Arabidopsis thaliana: one gene and its partners. The protein of the gene in region 1 interacts with the protein of each later gene in a pairwise test. Each region holds a gene or a part of one and is shown in the gene's direction. Other genes may lie near its edges.

Region 1 (3,760 bases):
GTGTTACCGTTTTGCACTCATTGTGGTTACCGTTTTGCACTCATTGTGGTTACAGCTAGGTTGTGTGACCAAACTTAATAAGATTCTCTAGCGATCAGAGAATATGGTCCGGTTTGCAGTGGTAAAAGATAAGCAGGGTTTACTTGAAATTGATTGTGGTTTTAGGACAAATCAGTTTGAAATCATTCGTTTGAGCTTCTAACCGCTTATTTCAAGTCCAAGTATCCAATTCAATATTGGTAACCGAATTAAAGGTTCGTTTTTAACCGCCATCACTAGTATGTGATCTACCGCTAGTATGTAATGTATTTGACCTCTATGAAATTGGAATCGTTCATACTTAACAAATTTCTAGGAAAAAAGGTTAAAACTATTTTCTTGTATATGCTTCAATCGTCTTGAAGATTACATAATCCAACGCACTAAAGGCTAATAAATTTTTGAAACTGAAGTCCAATCATCGTTATCTACTTCAGCCGACCTTAGGTCCCAACTAGAGAAACTTCTCAATCTCTGATTCTCTGATACACATACGCAGAGGTCTACTTATACACATTGTATACAAGCAGCTAATAATTAGTCATAAATTGTGAAACGTTTAAAAGAAAAGTAAAACAGTTTATTATAAGATATATAGTGAAATTTGGCAGTATGGCAAGAATTCACTCATTGATATAAAACCCCAATGTCATTGTTATTGAATTACAAGAATTCTTATGAAATTTAATAATTATATTTTTGTTATATGAAATTCTGTTATTGTGATATCCTGACAGTGTATATAAATAATGCTTAAAAGAATGAACTAGATATCTCACTGCCATGCAAATTATATAGTGGTCCACCATGAATCTGTATATAAGCATATTACATATCTAAGATGCTTTATTTTAACAAAAAAAAACATGTACTCTTTAATTTGGTCCATCCTCCATCTAAGACCAACCATTTTAGCTGTCAATCTATTTGCCTACTATAATATGTACAGTATTATGGAGCTCAATTGGGATCATCTCACGAAGAAAATCGAAAGGAAACCCCTAATTTTTAAAAGTTTTGGGTCTTAACATTTACTGATGCACATCACATACTATATATAATGGAATTTGCCCTATACCAAATGTAATGTATAAGTTGGTTCTCAGTAATTTTGAACTATTGTTTCGAATGATATATAGCAAAAGATCCATATGTAGTGTGTAATGAAAATGTAATTTTCTTACATTAGTATTTTCTATTGAATGGAGTCAAAGATATCGTTAAGAATGATCGTATGCATCATCAAGATTCAGGACTAGACATTCTAAAGAATGATCTCTAAGTAAGTAGATACATGTGTACACATTTTGATTATGTATATGTGTATCAGTGTATGTATATGTTTTTATTTATTATCTACTATTAGTATGGGTGATTAATGAAAATCATAGCATCTTTCTTTCCGTCAGAAAACATGTGGATAAGAGTGTCTATAGTCTACACACTACACAAATTGCTCTTTATACCTAACTAAAACCCTAGGGATTGGAGCGTATATATATATAGATATCATTTCTTGCTCAGCCTCAACCATATGTTATATTATACACTTTTAGTTTTAGATAACGAGAGAGAATAAATTATAACTGTTCATCATCTCGGTTCTTATCATTTTCCTCAACCTACGTGACAAAGAACTCACTCGATCTGTCTAAACCCAACGACTTCGTCAAGCTTACCAGTTTTTCTGTGTAAGATTAATCATCTTTTTTTCTTGCAGTAATATAATTTGAAACCTTTGTTTTCCTCTTTGGATCCTCAGATCTTCCTATTGATTCAATTGTAATCTATTTCGATTTGAGAATCACTTTCCTTTGATCTTTTTTAAGTATATATACACAAAATATCTAGTAAATTAAATTAATATGCAGTTCGAGTAATATACGTTTTCTTGATCTTAATAGGTTTTTGTTATTTACTCTATTGAAGTTGCTTTCATCTAATTAAAGTGATCACGCTTCCCAAAAATCCACAAACATTCCGAATTTGAACACTTTGTGATGACAATATTGATTTTGTTCATCTGTTTTTTGTTTTTTAGATCGACAGAGGACATGGGAATAAAAAAAGAAGATCAGAAAAGTTCCTTGTCCTTGTTGACGCAACGATGGAATAATCCGAGGATCGTGCGAGTCTCCCGAGCATTTGGAGGCAAAGATAGACACAGCAAAGTGTGCACAGTTCGTGGTCTCCGAGACAGGAGGATAAGGTTGTCGGTGATGACAGCGATCCAAGTCTACGACCTTCAAGAACGATTAGGGCTGAGTCAGCCTAGCAAAGTCATTGATTGGCTCTTAGAAGTTGCCAAAAACGACGTCGATTTGCTTCCTCCTTTGCAATTCCCACCTGGTTTTCACCAACTTAACCCTAATCTCACCGGCCTTGGAGAATCTTTTCCCGGGGTCTTCGATCTTGGAAGAACACAGAGAGAAGCTTTGGATCTTGAGAAAAGGAAATGGGTTAATCTTGATCATGTGTTTGATCACATCGATCATCACAACCATTTCTCGAATTCAATCCAGAGCAACAAGCTTTATTTCCCTACAATTACTTCGTCTAGCAGCTCTTATCACTACAACCTTGGACATCTCCAACAGTCACTACTAGACCAATCTGGTAACGTCACTGTCGCATTTTCTAATAACTATAATAATAATAATCTCAATCCTCCGGCGGCGGAAACTATGAGTTCTCTATTCCCAACAAGGTACCCTTCGTTTCTCGGTGGTGGTCAACTTCAACTCTTTAGTAGCACAAGCTCACAACCAGACCATATCGAGTAGTTCCAGCTGCAGATTATTTTTAGACGATCTTTAACAAGTTGAAGAATTCAAGTCATGTGACATGTAAGGCATTTACTATATGTACATAGAGAGAGGGAGATTTATATGGTTTAATGGTTATTGTTGGATTGATTAATCGTCACATGCGTGTATTTATAGTAGACAGTCTTATTAAAGATTATATAATAGACGCCAAATCTGATGCGAGCAAAGGTACATATTCATAATTCATGTTGTGATTGAGTTGGTAGAATATCTAATTCATTGTACCGCTACAATCAATATAAATAATATCTCTCATACAAACTTTTCACATTTGTATGTAAAGTTTGTAGTGCCTAAATATGCTATAACACAGGCCTCATTGCACGCCAAACCCTAGCTTGTACTCATATGTCCACAACCACATGCATGTGTAGTATACAAGGAACACAACACATATGATATCATCTACAAATAGAAATAAACACACTCATACACACAATGACACAAATATACGTTGTATGTATATATTTTGGGCTTAACATGTAAACTAATCGAACCGAATATTTATTTTCTTACATTTCCGAAACCAAATATGCCGCAAAAGCATTATTGAACCTATTGGAAGGATTTACGACAACTAAAACGTTTTATCCTGAATATTCATATATAGGTATATGATTTGTTGTAGCAGCTTTCCGGTAATTGGATTAATGTAAAGTGAGTAGAATCATATACTCCAACCAACAACTAGCTATATAGAGATAGATTTAGGTGATGAGTATTGCCTTATTGGGATTGGCGAATGAGAGAAGGAAAATGAGAAGAAGATGAGGCAGTTAAGACAGCAACTGAATCTGCAGTCAAGTCAAGCACTGATCCCTATATATCTTCTTTTAATTATTCTTCTTTTTTTCTTTTCTCTTTTGTCGATCCTCTTTTCACTTTCTATTAAT
Region 2 (3,620 bases), on another chromosome or scaffold:
AAACTCAGAACCATGTTAGAAAAATGAAAAAGACATTTCAGAATATTCATTAACTCAAAATTTTAATCTCATGATTTAATTTTTTATTAACAATGTTATCCTATAGCACATGGCAAATTTGAACGGCCCTTGCGTATTAATCTATTATAATCTCAAAACCATGTGTAAGAAAAAGGAAATTCAGAAAATAACCTTTTGTAAATAGGCCCCCACAAAATCTACAACATACGTAGATACCTCCTCGCTTACAGTTGTAAACAACTGTTCATCTAGATTCATGCCGTCATTCAAGTTTAAATTAATACAATAATTTAAAATTTTAATTTGGATGAATCGAATCCACCGTCGTTTCCTGAATACCAGATAGGTTAACTTTATGATTAGTTCGAGTGAACCACATGCACAATATTCGAATCTTAGACATTCGTTGCAATGTTAACTTCACATATATTTGATAAACGCTTCTTGAATCAGATCTTAATCTCTTTCTTTCTCTCCATCTTCTAAGGAGGTTGTGGATTATCATGTAGTATATCATTATCTTCGCATCACCTTCAACAAGAACAAGCTACGAGCTTTAAAGTCGTATTTAACACAATAATGTATAAAGTCTTTCTTCATCACATCACATACATTTTTTGTTGCCATCACCCTTCATTCACTTTTTTTGTTAACACTATTCGTTTCTATATAAAATAAAAATAAAATGAGGAATGTCTTGTCCATAGAGATTTTTAAGGTCGAGGGTCATCGGAGCGATGTGGGCTTGCTTCCTACATTATAGTTGATATGTGGATCCCGCGTGGACCATATTTTTACCCAATAGCTACGTGCATGGTCCCACCGCTCTCTCTCACGCACTATTCCGAAATTGCCATAAACAATTTCACCGGACAAAAAGAGCAAATAATTTCGATGTTTAATAAAGAGACCATTAGTATATTTGACCCAAAAAAAAATAAAAAAAAAAGAGAGACATTACTATAACTTTTATTAGATGAAATATTGCAACATTGTATTTATAACGGATCTAATTTACTGAATCATATTTTTTTTCTTTGTTAAAGAGATACTGAATCATGCAGAAAAATAGATAGATTTTTAAATACTAGGTGAACTCATGACGAATCAACCATTACGAGAGATTTCTGGATAAAAGCAAAAACAAAACAAAACTAACATGCTAATCTAGGCAATTAGTAGAGCGAAAAGTCGGCAAAACCAAAGGCCGAAGAAGCTTGATCGATATACTTTTTTTTTTTTGTTTTGGCTGGATATACTTGGTATGAACTAAGAATTAAGTAAAAACTCATAGGGAGTAATTTTTCGAGAAGTGCATTCACTATGAGTATAAAACAGACATTTTCAAATTATTAAAACAAGCTCTTAGAGGCTCATATGTTTAATTGTAAGTGGCGGCTCATGCGAACTTATAATGAAAACATCAAATATTCGGAAAAATAATACTCCACTGTTAAAAAGAAAACTTAACAAAGGAATTAAAAATATGAGAGCAAAAGAACACATGCATTTTCTCATGCATGTACTATTATTTATTTTTTTGCAGAGTTGATGTAAAAAATATACACATATATATAGACATACTTTGGTTAGTTATAAACTCGTTCTATTTTCTTCTCCTTTTTCTATCTTTAGCAATGAACATATCAGTAAACGGACAGTCACAAGTACCTCCTGGCTTTAGGTTTCACCCAACCGAGGAAGAGCTCTTGAAGTATTACCTCCGCAAGAAAATCTCTAACATCAAGATCGATCTCGATGTTATTCCTGACATTGATCTCAACAAGCTCGAGCCTTGGGATATTCAAGGTTCATCATTTATCTTTTATTCTTGATGAAACGTATTAATAGGGCTTGTATATATTAATTAAATTAGTTTTTTAATGCATGTGTTGAGTCAAGAACTAAAGCTCTGAATTCAGGAAATTTTGCAGAGTAATATATACTTTTTGTGATAATAAAATTTGCAGTAACAAAATTCAGTCAAAACTTAACACAACTCTTGTTTTTTCTATGTAGAGATGTGTAAGATTGGAACGACGCCGCAAAACGATTGGTACTTTTATAGCCATAAGGACAAGAAGTATCCCACCGGGACTAGAACCAACAGAGCCACCACGGTCGGATTTTGGAAAGCGACGGGACGTGACAAGACCATATATACCAATGGTGATAGAATCGGGATGCGAAAGACGCTTGTCTTCTACAAAGGTCGAGCCCCTCATGGTCAGAAATCCGATTGGATCATGCACGAATATAGACTCGACGAGAGTGTATTAATCTCCTCGTGTGGCGATCATGACGTCAACGTAGAAACGTGTGATGTCATAGGAAGTGACGAAGGATGGGTGGTGTGTCGTGTTTTCAAGAAAAATAACCTTTGCAAAAACATGATTAGTAGTAGCCCGGCGAGTTCGGTGAAAACGCCGTCGTTCAATGAGGAGACTATCGAGCAACTTCTCGAAGTTATGGGGCAATCTTGTAAAGGAGAGATAGTTTTAGACCCTTTCTTAAAACTCCCTAACCTCGAATGCCATAACAACACCACCATCACGAGTTATCAGTGGTTAATCGACGACCAAGTCAACAACTGCCACGTCAGCAAAGTTATGGATCCCAGCTTCATCACTAGCTGGGCCGCTTTGGATCGGCTCGTTGCCTCACAGTTAAATGGGCCCAACTCGTATTCAATACCAGCCGTTAATGAGACTTCACAATCACCGTATCATGGACTGAACCGGTCCGGTTGTAATACCGGTTTAACACCAGATTACTATATACCGGAGATTGATTTATGGAACGAGGCAGATTTCGCGAGAACGACATGCCACTTGTTGAACGGTAGTGGATAACGGAAATGGAAGAGAGGAAGTGACTAAGTGAGTGACATACCAAAACATTGTGTAGAAAGATATAATAATCATCATACCATATATATAGTTGTTGAAACTTTTACGGTATAAATGGTCAGATTGTGATAATTACAGTACGTAGTTATGTGATATCATTACAGAAAATAAAAGTTCTCTATATCTGTGTACATTTTATATCATGATTAACTTTATAGAAAAGAATTGGTTGCATAGTTGAATTTCTTTGGATCAAGAATATTAGTTTTTGTCTTTTTGAAACTTAATTGCCATTCGATGAACAAAAAGGCAATTACATTTTCTACTGTAAGAAATCATAGTCTGTCACATGCATCGCCGGGTGTTTTCTAATTACAATTATATGAAAAAAGGATTTTGACCAAAAGTTGATTATGATTTCAAGAGAGACAAAAGACCAAAATGATAATTAATTCGTCGACAAATTAACTTTAGGAACAGATGATTTCCATTACGTTAATTATTCAAAGTTTCTCATTTTACTCTCAATTAAACTGAAGTTTTATTTACTAGAAACTTGAGATATTTAGTTGGTAAATGCTTAGTTTGATGTTGAATAGTTTGCTTCATTCATCATTAGGAATAGATTAATTACCCAATTAATCACCCCAACAAACTTGGATTAAGATGCACCAAGTGCTTAATAATAGTAGCTAATTAACCTACCCATCAAAGCTAATCACACTCATTATTTTTCAATTATAGCATTTA
Region 3 (3,821 bases), about 22 Mb from region 1:
TAGTATGATCTTTCTCGGTCCGATCCTCGAAACTCCCTCGAAGGCTCGAACCCTCTCTTTGTTTTTTTACCACTATATAAGAAAGTCCGATTCCTCGTCACTCTTATTCCCACTTCCACACATACACATATACAACAGAGCAAGAGAGTCAATCAAGTAGAGTGAAGATGGCAACTAAACAAGAAGCTTTAGCCATCGATTTCATAAGCCAACACCTTCTCACAGACTTTGTTTCCATGGAAACTGATCACCCATCTCTTTTTACCAACCAACTTCACAACTTTCACTCAGAAACAGGCCCTAGAACCATCACCAACCAATCCCCTAAACCGAATTCGACTCTTAACCAGCGTAAACCGCCCTTACCGAATCTATCCGTCTCGAGAACGGTTTCAACAAAGACAGAGAAAGAGGAAGAAGAGAGGCACTACAGGGGAGTGAGACGAAGACCGTGGGGAAAATACGCGGCGGAGATTAGGGATCCGAACAAAAAGGGTTGTAGGATCTGGCTTGGGACTTACGACACTGCCGTGGAAGCTGGAAGAGCTTATGACCAAGCGGCGTTTCAATTACGTGGAAGAAAAGCAATCTTGAATTTCCCTCTCGATGTTAGGGTTACGTCAGAAACTTGTTCTGGGGAAGGAGTTATCGGATTAGGGAAACGAAAGCGAGATAAGGGTTCTCCGCCGGAAGAGGAGAAGGCGGCTAGGGTTAAAGTGGAGGAAGAAGAGAGTAATACGTCGGAGACGACGGAGGCTGAGGTTGAGCCGGTGGTACCATTGACGCCGTCAAGTTGGATGGGGTTTTGGGATGTGGGAGCAGGAGATGGTATTTTCAGTATTCCTCCGTTATCTCCGACGTCTCCCAACTTTTCCGTTATCTCCGTCACTTAAAACTTCGGAAAAGTCAACGTACGATGACGTTTTCACTTGCGTCACTCTCATGATTTCATTTATTCTTGTATAATATAAAGGTAGCGGTAGTGTGCAAATATCAAATAAGTAGTTTAATTAGTACCAATCATTTTATTCATTATTTTTTTTAGTAGAATATTTGGATGTTGAAAATATAAATTTAATTTTGTATTTGTTGATGTTATAAATTTATTGATTGTATAAACATTCTTAGTCATCAGTTTCGTTAAGTCCATATCTAAACACTTCATATCTGCTAAATAGTCAATAGATTATAAAATTGGATCAGGAAAAAGTAAATCGGAGCTATAAAAAAATAGTGTGCAACGAAAAGACAATTAATTAGTTAAAAATACATACAAATCTAAACAAATTCAAAATTTCAATAGTGGAAAACACCAATCAAATGGATAATGCTGTCGAAGATTATCTACAAAGCATCAATAAAAGTAAATAATTAATATTATCTTACATGCTATTATAAAAGATTATGAGATTAGGAGTATAATTGTCAAGCAACTGAGCAAGAGGGTAAGGTTTGGTTATTATATATGTGGAGCCCTATACGAAGTTATGTAGAAACAAAGAAATATCAAGTTGCTTCAAATCATATCCTAGCAAGACAACCCTACAAGACAAGCAATTTGATGAATTTGTCTCTCCTTTTTATTCGAGTGAAAGTCATTATCTTCTTATCTTTTTACTCGAATGTGAATATGCAAAATATCTTTTGATATTTAAGAGCTTACCTAGTGAGTCATTACTACTACGAAAATCATATATCAATCTTATCATAAAACTTTTAAGATAAAAAAAAAAAAGAAAAAACTTTTGAGAGATTGGCTTTTAAAGACTTAAGTTACGATTATAAACACTAGTAGTTCAAGTCTTTTTGGTTTTGGTTTGTGTTATGTTTTAGATTTAAAATTTCAAATGAACCTACGTCCTTAACCAACTCAATCAAAATTCTAGTTAAAAAAAATAATCACCATTTTGTTAGCATTCAGCTTAGGATTCGAACCATGGGTAGCTCAAGGTATTTTAAACTCTAGAGGAATAAAATGGATGTTAGTGAAATTTGTCAGCATCATAGACAAGATCAAGTTGGCACAACTTGAAGGGTCCTGACAAAATATCTTAAGTTGCCTCCATAAATGTTTAATGGATAAGACTTGGCCCCACAGAGTTAAACCAGAGAGACACAGAGAGAGACTTTTGACACCTCACCCATGGCTGCGTTAACACATGTTTAGGATTCCTTTCTTTATATAGCCAACAATATCATCAAAACTTTTTCTTCAAACACCACTTGCAGTTTTTCTTATTCTCCTGTCTTGTCTAAAGAAAAAAGAGAGAGGAAGAAATGGAGACTTTTGAGGAAAGCTCTGATTTGGATGTTATACAGAAACATCTATTTGAAGACTTGATGATCCCTGATGGTTTCATTGAAGATTTTGTCTTTGATGATACTGCTTTTGTCTCCGGACTCTGGTCTCTAGAACCCTTTAACCCAGTTCCGAAACTGGAACCTAGTTCACCTGTTCTTGATCCAGATTCCTATGTCCAAGAGATTCTGCAAATGGAAGCAGAATCATCATCATCATCATCAACAACAACGTCACCTGAGGTTGAGACTGTCTCAAACCGGAAAAAAACAAAGAGGTTTGAAGAAACGAGACATTACAGAGGCGTGAGAAGGAGGCCATGGGGGAAATTTGCAGCAGAGATTCGAGATCCGGCAAAGAAAGGATCCAGGATTTGGTTAGGCACTTTTGAGAGTGATATTGATGCTGCAAGGGCTTACGACTATGCAGCTTTTAAGCTCAGGGGAAGAAAAGCTGTTCTCAACTTTCCTTTGGATGCCGGAAAGTATGATGCTCCGGTCAATTCATGCCGAAAAAGGAGGAGAACCGATGTACCACAGCCTCAAGGAACAACAACAAGTACTTCATCATCGTCATCAAACTAATGGGGGAATAGTGATGTTTAATTAGTATATATAGGTTAATATCTTAAGTATGTGAAGCATCATGTATAGAGCCAAGAACCTGTTAGACTAGTGTACTGAAAAGAACTCTTGCAAAATATGTACTAAAGAGTTCCTGTAACAATGGAACTTCTGCGTTTTCTCTTGTCTTAAAGAGCTTAAGGTTCTAGAAACAAAGTTCTTGTCCTTTCGGTTTATTCAGAGTACACTATTTGGGAAGACAAGAGGACCTAAATCTATCGACTACATTTATTTATTAATCTACTGTGATACTTAAAATCGAATTTCTACCTGAAAGACCTTAACATAAGCCTTAAAGTTTCTCCAATGACACAAACAGTACCGTACAGTGGCTTCAGTATTCACTATTCGATATCACTGAGGTATTAATTAGTTCACATGTCCAGAAAGCGTGAATCAGTGAATTGAGTAGAAAGATGAACAAGTTGCAAGAGGGACCAAGTTTAAAGAATATAGCAGCCAGAGTTTTGTCTCATGGTTGGGTACAAGTCAGCATTCATTTTTTAAATATGACAAAGAATTGGATGGACCACACGCAACAGCTCAAGAGGGGAGAGATGCACAAGTTGCAATATGGAAAAGTAAACAGAGGAAGATATGTATTAACATCTCAACCTCATCGTTGAGATGGATGTTGATTATTATTATTAGGAATAACTAAAACCAAAGAATTCTTATAAGTTATAACAATGAAATTACTTCATGGTTTTTTGATAAAGATATCTCCTATGCATATATATCTAGTATACATTTGGAACAGTTGATGAATATCAACTGACCTGTTTCTTAGATAGAAGAGATCTTCATGTTATCGATCTTTTCTTGAGTTTCCATGTCGATCACATTCTGCAATGCTCCTTCACCAGTCAAGAAACTCGGTTGATTTGTCGATGCAAGGA
Region 4 (4,224 bases), on another chromosome or scaffold:
CATAACGATTTCTAATGATGTGAGCTCTTAACTTGCTCCAGCAAGATCATCAACTTTGGAGCACCTTCAATGATTTAGTTAACATGTTAGATAAATTAAATATTCTTGTTTCAATATATATCAACTTTAGTGTAAAAGCCTTAACATTCTCTTGAATATTTAATTTATTTCTCCTTATTTCGATTTAATGACAAATGTGAATTAATTTTTGTGATATTTTTGTTCGAAATTAGTTTTCAGTTAATAACATACATGTGAGCATGGGACACACATGATTTAACAAAAGGGAATGACGAAATGATATATCAAAATATTAGTATGGGAACAAATTACGAGGTGAAACTTCACACTCAACTCAATTAAAACTAGAATAAAGAAATGGAAAAAGTGAAAGAATGAGAGGTCAAATGTGGTTAATCATTATGTGGTATTAGTTAATCCATCAATTGTGTACCCAAAAGCATGATTAAGCATAGAATTTAGAGAAACAAAACATCATTATTAATGTTGAAACACAAAGATCCCATCAACAGACAAATGATAAGTACAGTGCATGTAGGGTAACAACTTTTATGTACATGTTATATACTTATATTATATAATAAGAAAACGATTAAAGTGTCATTGCTCCAGCCTCTATTTGTAAATCATATTATATCAGTATGCTTAATTCCAATAATTAAGTCCATAACTAAAATATATACACATATATGTATGTTAAATGGTTGAATATATACATATATTTTCATAAACAAATATTGCTAATTAATTCAGTTATTTGTGTACATAATCCAACTATCACCTTTTTAGCTGGAAGTGGATATTCCAACATGTCAGTCTGTCACTCCCACATTCATACTCTCTATTCTTTTTAGCTATTTCAATATCTACGGTTAAATATTAATGGCTATATAGCCTTACCCTTCATTTTAGTTTTTTTTTGGTATTCGCATAACCATCGAATACTCAAACTTACTATGTAAGATGGTCTGAATAACTATTTCCGATTTAAGATGAATAGCTAGATTGAAATATACATGCACTAATTGGACATGCACTAAAGGCAGAGGTGAATTAAATGATGAAATGAAGATGAAGTGTCACACTTGTGCAAAAAGCATGTCCCCTGCTCTTCTCCGCTTGTTTCAATTTCTTTGACTTTCATCACGTTTTTGTCACTTAAATACACCAAAAAATATAGTACAATTAAACATCGAAAATCGTCCAAAAAGAAGAAAAAAAATCATGGAAAGTTCTTTCGTTAATGTTACACACATTATCTTGATTAGGTGACACCAGATATTAGAATAAAAATGATAGATTATGAAAAGAAAAAAAAAATTGATGTATTTTTAGGATACATCGAAAGGAATGAACATACCAAAAACATGGGAAAAAATAGATAACTAATTAACATGGTAGAATGTAGATGACGTAGATCATGAAACGAGTGTGTGATATATTAATGAAAATTATTTTAATATACGTAGCTATATTAGAAAATAATTTACATTTATTTTCTTCTAAACAAATCTATACTTTATATTTACATACATTAGTAAAGACCAAAACACATGGAATTCAAATTCTGCAATAAGTAATTGCAAGAAAACACAAAGATTAATCCCCCACTAAACCCGTTTATTTACGTTAGTATTTTTCCGTTTTATACATTACACATGACATGACATTACACGTCAAAAGAAATATGTCTTACGTCAGAACTTACGTATGATCAAACTCGATTTAAACATAGAAACATCTGTTTACTAAATTATACTAATTTCATAAAGACACTTTAATGCATGAACTTCTTTGTTTAAATAACAATTTCCCCCTTTTGGGGGCTATGTCTCGTCGAGTCCTACCACCATTATAAATTATCTCATCGTTTGCTTTCTTTTTTTTAAGTTGTAACCATTTCCACTCGTAATCATACAACTTCTCTACTCTTCTAGAGCAAAAACCCAAAAATATATTGCTATCTTCGTTAATGGCTGATAATAAGGTCAATCTTTCGATTAATGGACAATCAAAAGTGCCTCCAGGTTTCAGATTCCATCCCACCGAAGAAGAACTTCTCCATTACTATCTCCGTAAGAAAGTTAACTCTCAAAAGATCGATCTTGATGTCATTCGTGAAGTTGATCTAAACAAGCTTGAGCCTTGGGATATTCAAGGTTAAACCCTAAATATGAAAAAAAACTCTTTCATTTCTACGAACTCTCTATTTCTTTGTTCTTTATTTTTGAACCATTTTGGTATGCAAATGCAGAGGAATGTAGAATCGGTTCAACGCCACAAAACGACTGGTACTTCTTCAGCCACAAGGACAAGAAGTATCCAACCGGGACCAGGACGAACCGGGCAACAGTCGCTGGATTCTGGAAAGCTACCGGACGTGACAAAATCATCTGCAGTTGTGTCCGGAGAATTGGACTGAGGAAGACACTCGTGTTCTACAAAGGAAGAGCTCCTCACGGTCAGAAATCCGACTGGATCATGCATGAGTATCGCCTCGACGATACTCCAATGTCTAATGTAAGTATATATAGCAATCATCAATTTGCAGTTTAGGTTAGAATAAACAAATTACAAACTTATAGTCAAAGAATTAGCTAGATTCGTTTCATGCTATAAAAGGTTTTGGTTCATTTAGTACGCACTAGAGCCTTCTTTTAGCATCTGCAATTAAAGTAATCGAACATGATTCTCTGAGTTACAATAAGATAATTTCTTATGAAATTAACACATCATATATACATTTATATAAAAAGATTTTTTCACAAGGCTTAAAATAGTTTAACACGGCTCTACAAACAATACGTAGTTAACTAGTTATGGTTGCATATCCAAAAGAAAAACCAACATAAAAGATTTTTTTTTTTGTTTCAAAATAAAAGTTGCATTTTTACATCATCAAGATTTAATCATCTCTTATTGCATTTCATAAGATCGATTTGTGTTCCATTATCAGGGCTATGCTGATGTTGTTACAGAAGATCCAATGAGCTATAACGAAGAAGGTTGGGTGGTATGTCGAGTGTTCAGGAAGAAGAACTATCAAAAGATTGACGATTGTCCTAAAATCACTCTATCTTCTTTACCTGATGACACGGAGGAAGAGAAGGGGCCCACCTTTCACAACACTCAAAACGTTACCGGTTTAGACCATGTTCTTCTCTACATGGACCGTACCGGTTCTAACATTTGCATGCCCGAGAGCCAAACAACGACTCAACATCAAGATGATGTCTTATTCATGCAACTCCCAAGTCTTGAGACACCTAAATCCGAGAGCCCGGTCGACCAAAGTTTCCTGACTCCAAGCAAACTCGATTTCTCTCCCGTTCAAGAGAAGATAACCGAAAGACCGGTTTGCAGCAACTGGGCTAGTCTTGACCGGCTCGTAGCTTGGCAATTGAACAATGGTCATCATAATCCGTGTCATCGTAAGAGTTTTGATGAAGAAGAAGAAAATGGTGATACTATGATGCAGCGATGGGATCTTCATTGGAATAATGATGATAATGTTGATCTTTGGAGTAGTTTCACTGAGTCTTCTTCGTCTTTAGACCCACTTCTTCATTTATCTGTATGATTATCTATACATACACATACACAAAATATAAAATAAAGTTTGTTAAAAAATGTCTCATGTTCTATTGATAGTACGTCTTGATTTTGGGGTTTAACATTTGTTAATGGTGGAGGGTAATTTTTTTATAATATTTATAATCATAAAATTTACGAAGTTAAAGAATGATATTATATACAAAACTTGAATAACGACTCTTTCAATTGCTTACTAAGCTATTTTAGAAGTCATTACATTTAGTTCTTTATCTTTGACTATTAAAGCTAAAAGATGTCCAAAAAAAAAAAAAGCTAAATGGTAGAACTTTTCACATCCCTCATCTTTCATTCTACATTTCTTACATGCCCACTATTGAATTTGAATCCAAATTATGATACGAAGATTGCCATATTTGTACAACCACGAGAATATATGTTTATCGCTTAAATCTTTTGTATTTGCGAATCATAAAGCCCATAGGCCATAGTGAGAGTTAATATTCGGTAAATTTGTACTTTGGTTCAAACGCACATGGTGAATCCGTATTTTATAAAAAACTTTCTAAATTAATAATGAGTTAATGACAGAACTATGATGTATATGTTAATTTATAGTAATATTATTTTTTCTATAAATTTCAAATCTCA

What was found.
Region 2: the proteins of TCP17 (region 1) and NAC066 interact in a two-hybrid assay, tested with the Arabidopsis thaliana proteins (one large-scale study listed by BioGRID).
Region 3: the proteins of TCP17 (region 1) and AT5G61590 interact in a two-hybrid assay, tested with the Arabidopsis thaliana proteins (one large-scale study listed by BioGRID).
Region 4: the proteins of TCP17 (region 1) and NAC012 interact in a two-hybrid assay, tested with the Arabidopsis thaliana proteins (one large-scale study listed by BioGRID).

Annotation. Positions count from the first base shown.
Region 1 is NC_003076.8:2,582,792-2,586,551, forward strand, and holds TCP17 (TCP domain protein 17), read left to right. Parts: upstream 1-1,566; 5' UTR 1,567-1,730; intron 1,731-2,080; 5' UTR 2,081-2,093; coding exon 2,094-2,822; 3' UTR 2,823-3,244; downstream 3,245-3,760. UniProt on the Arabidopsis thaliana protein: Plays a pivotal role in the control of morphogenesis of shoot organs by negatively regulating the expression of boundary-specific genes such as CUC genes, probably through the induction of miRNA (e.g. miR164). Participates in ovule development.
Region 2 is NC_003074.8:22,928,446-22,932,065, reverse strand, and holds NAC066 (NAC domain protein 66), read left to right. Parts: upstream 1-1,609; 5' UTR 1,610-1,658; coding exon 1,659-1,830; intron 1,831-2,040; coding exon 2,041-2,873; 3' UTR 2,874-3,060; downstream 3,061-3,620. UniProt on the Arabidopsis thaliana protein: Transcription activator of genes involved in biosynthesis of secondary walls. Together with NST1, required for the secondary cell wall thickening of the anther endocethium, which is necessary for anther dehiscence.
Region 3 is NC_003076.8:24,763,715-24,767,535, reverse strand, and holds AT5G61590 (Integrase-type DNA-binding superfamily protein), read left to right. Parts: upstream 1-2,024; 5' UTR 2,025-2,277; coding exon 2,278-2,883; 3' UTR 2,884-3,280; downstream 3,281-3,821. Other genes in the region: ERF104 (ethylene response factor 104), read left to right, coding at 168-893; PFK4 (phosphofructokinase 4), read right to left, coding at 3,709-3,821.
Region 4 is NC_003070.9:11,864,720-11,868,943, reverse strand, and holds NAC012 (NAC domain containing protein 12), read left to right. Parts: upstream 1-1,789; 5' UTR 1,790-1,993; coding exon 1,994-2,180; intron 2,181-2,275; coding exon 2,276-2,541; intron 2,542-2,977; coding exon 2,978-3,601; 3' UTR 3,602-3,715; downstream 3,716-4,224. UniProt on the Arabidopsis thaliana protein: Transcriptional activator of genes involved in biosynthesis of secondary walls. Together with NST1, required for the secondary cell wall thickening and lignification of sclerenchymatous fibers and secondary xylem vessels (tracheary elements).